Linked DNA regions of Anolis sagrei. The protein of the gene in region 1 interacts with the protein of each later gene in a biochemical or structural test. Links are inferred from orthologs where the notes say so. Each region holds a gene or a part of one and is shown on either strand. Other genes may lie near its edges. The genes, in order: MYO18A and GOLPH3.

Region 1 (3,926 bases):
CAACACTAGGAGTAGTAGTAATAGTAGTTGGAAATAGTTGTATGGCAATATAGTTAGAATCATCTATCTATCTATCTATCTATCTATCTATCTATCTGAATTAGGATGATAATAACAAGGAATATGTGAGGGAATTATGAAAGTCCCTGACAAAATGAAGGGAAGACATTGTTGTTGTTGTTGTTGTTACTATCCTCGTCCTCAAAGTGGGGTTTTTAACAGGAGTGAAAAAGGTGGGAAGGTGTGAGGAAGGTATAGAAGCAACAATAACAACAACAACGGAATGTGGGAGGAAAGTGTGGTTGTGTAGAAATAGTATCAATAGAGAAAAGTGTCAGGAAGTTGTAGGGTTCAGAATGTTCTTTGATTGTAGGTGAACTGTGAATCCCAGTGACTACAACTCCCAAATATCAAACTCCATCTGTGTTCATATTTGGGCGTATTGAGTGCTTGTGCCAAGTTTGATCCAGATCCATCATTGTTTGAGTCCACAGTGCTCTCTGGATGTAGGTGAACTACAACTCCCAAACTCAAGGTCAGTGCCCACCAAACCCTTCCAGTGTTTTCTCCTGGTCGTGGGAGTTCTGTGTGCCAAGTTTGGTTCAATTCTATCGTTGGTGGAGTTCAGAATGCTCCTTGATTGTAGGTGAACTATAAATCCCAGCAACTACATCTCCCAAATGACAAAATCATAAATTTTTGAGTGATGATCACTCCTTGTGTTGTGAGACGTTTTGTTGCCAAATTTGGTGTGATTTCGTTCATTGGTTCTTTTGTTTTTAAGGTACTCATTATGCAGTGAGTATTTATATATATATATATGTCATATATACTCATAATTAATAATAAAGGTGTGTGTTTGTGTAGAACTATTATATCATATAATAATAATAATGGTGTGTGATTGTCTAGAACTATATATATATATATATATATATATATAATTAATAGTAGAGGGAGGAGGGAGGAAGGTGTGTGGTTATGTAGAATTATGATGATGATGATGATTATTATTATTGCTATTACAAAAGGGTTTTGGATAATGTTAATAATAATAAGGCTAAGAAGAATTCTTCTTTTCCTTCCTCAGGGGGCGGAGCCAACGGAGGAGGCGGAGCCAGTGGCATTCATTGAAGGGGCGGAGCCAATGGAATCAACAAAGGGGGCGGAGCCAGTGGCATTCATTGAAGGGACGGAGCCAATGGAATCAACAAAGGGGGCGGAGCCAGTGGAATTCATTGAAGGGGCGGAGCCAATGGAATCAACAAAGGGGGCGGAGCCAATGGACTCAACGGAGGAGGCGGAGTCAAAGGAGGGGGTGGAGCCCTGCGAGGAGAGGGCGGAGCTAGCGGAAGGGGCGGGGCTTGTGTGAGGCCTGCCTTTCCCGGCTTGGGCCTGCCTCTTTCCTCCGCCTTCGCCGGCTCACAGGCCCGCCCGGGAAGGAGAAGGAGAAGCCGAGGAGGAGGAGAAGCCCAAGACAACGCCGCCACCCCGGTGAGGAGCCCACCTGGGAGCGGGAGGAGGAGAAGGGGAAGGGAGGGAGCTTTCCTGGGTGTGAGCCTTTCCCTCACATCCACACACACTCGGGTAGGTGGGTGGGTGGGCCCACACACAACTTCAAAGGCCTCCCTCCCTCCCTCCCCTTTTGCACACCTGGCAGCACACCTGCCTTCTTCACCTTCTTCAGAACAGAAGCTCAAAAGGAGGAGGAAAAGGTGGCCTCTGAGCATGTGAAGAGAGAGGGAGAGAGAGATGGGAGGGGAAAGGAGCAAGGTGTGTGGTTTGTGCACAGAAAAGGAAAAGCATGGGTGGGGTGTTGTGGTGGTTGCAAGGGGCCTGGTCCAGCCTCCTTTAGGCTTATAAACTGAACACAATAATAATAATAATAATAATAAACTATATATATATACACATACACACACTACCCAGTCTGTGTATATGTGTTTTGTGTGTATGGCCCAGTCTGTGTAAATGTGTTTTGTGTGTGTATATATTTGTGTGTTGTTGTGATTGCAATAGGCCTGGTCCAGCCTCCTTTAGGCTTGTAAACTGAACACAATAATAATAATAATAATAATAATAATAGTAAATATAATAGTAAATATAATAATAAATATAATAATATAATATAATAATATAATATAAATAATAATTATTATATATATACTAGCTGCCATGCATTGCTGTGGCCCAGTCTGTGTATATCTCTGTGTGTGTGTGTATTTGTGTGTTGTTGTGATTGCAAGAGGCCTGGTCCAGCCTCCTTTAGGCTTGTAAACTGAACATAATAATAATAATAATAATAATAATAATAATATAATTATAATATAAATAATAATAATCTATATATATACTAGTCGTCCCCTGCCACGCAATGCTGTGGCCCAGTATGTGTAATAATACATAATCATCATCATCATCATAGAATCAAAGAGTTGGAAGAGACCTCATGGGCCATCCAGTCCAACCCCATTCTGCCAAGAAGCAGGAATATTGCATTCAAAGCACCCCTCATCATCATCATCTATATATATGCTAGCCATCCCCTGCCACGCATTGCTGTGGACCGGTCTGTGTATATGTGTTTTGTGTGTGTGTATATATTTGTGTGTTGTTGTGATTGCAATAGGCCTGGTCCAGCCTCCTTTAGGCTTGTAAACTGAGGATAATAGTAATAATAGTAATAATAATAATAGTAAATATAATAATAAATATAATAATATAATATAAATAATTATTATTATATATATACTAGCTGCCATGCATTGCTGTGGCCCAGTCTGTGTATATCTCTGTGTGTGTGTGTATTTGTGTGTTGTTGTGATAGCAAGAGGCCTGGTCCAGCCTCCTTTAGGCTTGTAAACTGAACATAATAATAATAATAATAATAATAATAATAATAATAATAATAATATAATTATAATATAAATAATAATAATCTATATATATACTAGTCGCCCCCTGCCACGCGATGCTGTGGCCCAGTATGTGTAATAATACATAATCATCATCATCATCATAGAATCAAAGAGTTGGAAGAGACCTCATGGGCCATCCAGTCCAACCCCATTCTGCCAAGAAGCAGGAATATTGCATTCAAAGCACCCCTCATCATCATCATCATCTATATATATACTAGCCATCCCCTGCCACGCATTGCTGTGGACCGGTCTGTGTATATGTGTTTTGTGTGTGTGTATATATTTGTGTGTTGTTGTGATTGCAATAGACCTGGTCCAGCCTCCTTTAGGCTTGTAAACTGAACATAATAATAATAATAATAATAATAATAATAATAATAATAAAAACTATGTAATATAAATTATATATATATATATATATATATATATATATATACACTAGCCGTCCCCTGCCACGTGATGCTGTGGCCCAGTCTGTGTATATGTGTTTTGTATGTGTATATATTTGTGTGTTGTTGTGATTGCAATAGGCCTGGTCCAGCCTCCTTTAGGCTTGTAAACTGAACATAATAATAATAATAATAATAATAATAATAATAATATGTAATATAAATAATAATAATAATAATAATAATATATATACTAGCCGTCCCCTGCCACATGATGCTGTGGCCCAGTCTGTGTATATGTGTTTTGTGTGTGTATATATTTGTGTGTGTTCAGACTTGTAAACTGAACATAATAATAATAATAATAATAATAATAATAATAAATATATATTTATATATACTCTCTCTCTCGCTCTCTACCCAGTCTGTGTATATATGTTTTGTGCGTTTGGCCCGGTCTGTGTATATGTGTTTTGTGTGTGTGTATATATATGTGTATATATATTTGTGTGTTGTTGTGATAGCAATAGGCCTGGTCCAGCCTCCTTTAAGCTTGTAAACTGAGCATAATAATAATAATAATAAATATATAATATAAATAATAGCCATCCCCTGC
Region 2 (3,926 bases), on another chromosome or scaffold:
TCCCGCCGAAACGGTGCCTATTGATCTACTCACATTTGCATGTTTTTGAACTGCTAGGTTGGCAGAAGCTGGGGCTAACAATAGGAGCTCACCCACTTCTCCAGATTTGCACTGGTACTGTGGCGCAGCTGGCTGCGGAGTCAGCTGCATTAAGATCACTACCGATCGAAAGGTCATGAGTTCAGAGTTAGCCCAGGTCGGAGTGAGCTTCTGACCAATTTGTGTGGCTTGCGGTCGACCTTTGCAGCCCGAAAGACAGTTGCATAGGTCAAGTAGGAAATTTAGGTACCATGTAAGCAGGGAGGTTAATTTAACTAATTTACGACACCATAAAAATCTTCAGTAAGCATGCAAAGAATGAGAAAGTACTTCATCAGTGTCACAAATGGACGGTGAAGTGACAGCTCCCCTGGTGGCCAGAATACTCTCATCAAAGCTGGAATGTTAAGTAGTCTCTGTGTGTCTGTCTATATATGTTGTGTGTCTATGGCATTGAATGTTTGCCATGCATATGTACATTGTAATCCGCCCTGAGTCCCCTGCAGGGTGAGAAGGCTGTTTGGCTGTTTGGCTGTGCATTTAAGTAATCAGACCTAATTTGCCAAATAGTCACTATGGAATGTTTTTATGTTGAATGTTTTTATATTGTGTAAATGCTATTTTAGATTGTAAGTCGCTCAGAGCACCTTGGTGGAGAGCGACTAATTAAGAAATAAAGTGAAGTGAAGAGAAGCGAAGAAGGGTGGAATATAAATACTGCAAATAAATAAATAAACAAACAATCGACCTTTCAGTTAGCAAGTTCAGCAGCTCAGCAATTTAACCCACTGCACCACTTGAGGACCCTCCCATATCTATATCTATAGATAGATAGACACTCCACTTGCCTCATTCCCACAGACCCCTGAACACACCTCTGTGGATGTTTGCCACAGATGTAGGCAAAACATCAGGACAGAATGTTCCTGCCACATAACCATGCAACCTGGAAAACTCAGCCTCACCAAACTACAACTCCCAGAATTCCATAATAGTTAAAGTCATGTCAAAAGTGCCTTTATTGTCGAAGGCCTTCATGGCCGGAATCACTGGGTTGTTGTAGGTTTTTTTGGGCTATATGGCCATGGTCTAGAGGCATTCTCTCCTGACGTTTCGCCTGCATCTATGGCAAGCATCATGAGATGGCATGACACATTAGACCTCACCTCTGAGGATGCTTGCCATAGATGCAGGCGAAACATCAGGAGAGAATGCCTCTAGACCATGGCCATAAAGCCCAAAAAAACCTACAACAACCCAGTGCCTTAATTGTATGGTGTCAATGCATCCAGGTCTGGGCCAACTTCGGCCCTCCCTCCAGGGGTTTTGGACTTCAACTCCCACAATTCCTAACAGCCGATAGGCTGTTAGGAATTGTGGGAGTTGAAGTCCAAAACCTAGAGTGAGGGCCGAAGTTGGCCCAGGCCTGCTCTGGAGTCTTGTCCCCCAAAAAGCCCTCCAAATGCGGCCTTATCTGCAAAGAGTGCTGGTGCCTCACCAAACTACAAGTCCCAGAATTCCGTAACAGTTAAAGTCATGTCAAAAGTGCCTTCATTAGGTTCTTGTAGGTTTTTTCGGGCTATAGGGCCATGTTCTAGAGGCATTTCTCCTGACATTTCGCCTTCATCTATTGCAAGCATCCTCAGAGGCAGTGAGGTCCTCACTGCCTCTGAGACCTCACTCCCTCTGAGGATGCTTGCCATAGATGCAGGCGAAACGTCAGGAGAAATGCCTCTAGAACATGGCCCTATAGCCCGAAAAAACCTACAAGAACCTAGTGATTCCAGCCATGAAAGCCTTCGACAATACAGTGCCTTCATTGTATGTTGTCAATGCATCTAGGTCTGGGCCAACTTCAGCCCTCCCTCCAGGGGTTTTGGACTTCAACTCCCACAATTGTGGGAGTTGAAGTCCAAAACCCTTGGAGGGAGGGCCGAAGTTGGCCCAGGCCTGTTCTTGAGTCCCCCCCCCCCAAAAAAGCTGTGCCAAAGAGTGCTAGTGCCTCACCAAACTACAACTCCCATAATTCCATAACATGTGAAAAGTGCCTTAATTGTATGGTGTCAATGCATCCAGGCCTGGGCCAACTTCGGCCTTCCCTCCAGGGGGTTTGGACTCCAACTCCCACAATTCCTAGGAATTGTGGGAGTTGGAGTCCAAACCCCCTGTAGGGAGGGCCGAAGTTGGCCCAGGCCTGCTCTGGAGTCAAGCCCCCCCCCCCCCCCGCAATGCGGCCTGCTTGTCCAGGCGAGCCCGGCGTCGTGGTGGTGGTGGTGTTGGTGGGCGCACCTCTCGGTCCTTGAGGCCCAGGAGCAGCACCTCCTCCATGAGCGTCAGCCGCGTTTCCTTGGAGTCGCCCTTCTCCTCGTCGCCGGCGTCGTCCCTCCGCCCGTCCTCCTCGGGGCCTCCTCCGGAGCCGGGCCCCCCGCCGCCTCCTCCTCCGCCCAGGCCTCCCCCGGCCACCCGGTCCTTGTCGGCGGCGCTGCGGGAGGCCTCGGTGCGGCGCTGGACTAGGCCCGAGTTGCGCTGGGTCAGCGAAGTCATGGCGGAGGGGAGAGGGAAGGGGAGAAGAAGGAAGGAGAGAGGGAGGCTGAGGCAGAGGCCCGGCCCGCGCTCTCCTCAGGAGCCAAGCGACGGCGGCGGCAGCGAAGGCTTCTCTTCCAATATGGCGGACCAGGCTTCCCTCCGCTGACGCCAGAAGAGGAGGAGGAGGAGGAGGAGGATGTGGCAGCAGGGAGGGGGAGCTGGAGGAGGAGGAGGAGGAGGAGGAGGAAGGCCGGCTTCACAGGCCTCTCAGGCAGCAACCACAACACAACACGCCCCCAGGTCTTCCCCTCAGGTTCTGCCCAAGCCAAGCTGAGGTAAGCTAGACGCCTTCCCTTTCCTCCTGCAAGATGGTGTTGCATTTAAAGAAGTACAAACAAACACAGATGCACACAAACTCTGTATGTGTTTGACTACATCTTTTGTTGTTGTTCATTCGTTCATTCGTTCCCGACTCTCCACGACAGAGCTCCCTGTCGGCCGTCACCACCCCCAACTCCTTCAAGGTCTATATCTACATCTATCTATATACTAGCCGTCCCCTGCCACACGTTTTGTTATTGTTCATTCATTCAGTCGTCTCCGACTCTTCGTGACCTCATGGACCAGCCCACGCCAGAGCTCCCTGTCGGCCGTCACCACCCCCAGCTCCTTCAAGGTCTGTATCTCCATTTATCTATATACTAGCCATCCCCTGCCATGCGTTCTGTTATTGTTCATTCGTTCCAGACTCTTCGTGACCTCATGGACCAGCCCACGCCAGAGATCCCTGTCGGCCGCCACCACCCCCAGCTCCTTCAAGGTTTATATCTACATCTATCTATATACTAGCCATCCCTTACCATGCGTTTTGTTATTGTTCATTCGTTCCAGACTCTTCGTGACCTCATGGACCAGCCCACGCCAGAGATCCCTGTCGGCCGCCACCACCCCCAGCTCCTTCAAGGTCTATATCTACATCTATCTATATACTAGCCGTCCCCTGCCACACGTTTTGTTATTGTTCATCCGTTCAGTCGTTCCCGACTCTTTGTGACCTCATGGACCATCCCACGCCAGAGCTCCCTGTCGGCCGTCACCACCCCCCGCTCCTTCAAGGTCTATTTCTTGTTGTTGTTCATTCGTTCAGTCGTCTCCGACTCTTCATGACCTCCTGGACCAGTCCACGCCAGAGCTCCCTTTCGGCTGTCACCACCCCCAGCTCCTTCAAGGTCTATATCTACATCTGTCTATGTACTAGCCATCCACTGACACGCGTTTTGTTATTGTTCATTCATTCAGTCATTCCCAACTCTTCGTGACCTCATGGACCAGGCCACGCCAGGGCTGTCGGCCGTCACCAC

What was found.
Region 2: the proteins of MYO18A (region 1) and GOLPH3 form a complex in vitro, tested with the Homo sapiens proteins (2 studies listed by IntAct). The link is inferred for Anolis sagrei from reciprocal best matches to the Homo sapiens genes MYO18A and GOLPH3.

What each region holds. Positions count from the first base shown.
Region 1 is NC_090031.1:34,158,143-34,162,068, forward strand, and holds the start of MYO18A (unconventional myosin-XVIIIa), read left to right. Parts: upstream 1-1,349; 5' UTR 1,350-1,494; intron 1,495-3,926.
Region 2 is NC_090022.1:281,124,289-281,128,214, reverse strand, and holds the start of GOLPH3 (Golgi phosphoprotein 3), read right to left. Parts: upstream 2,753-3,926; 5' UTR 2,584-2,752; coding exon 2,329-2,583; intron 1-2,328. UniProt on the Homo sapiens protein: Phosphatidylinositol-4-phosphate-binding protein that links Golgi membranes to the cytoskeleton and may participate in the tensile force required for vesicle budding from the Golgi.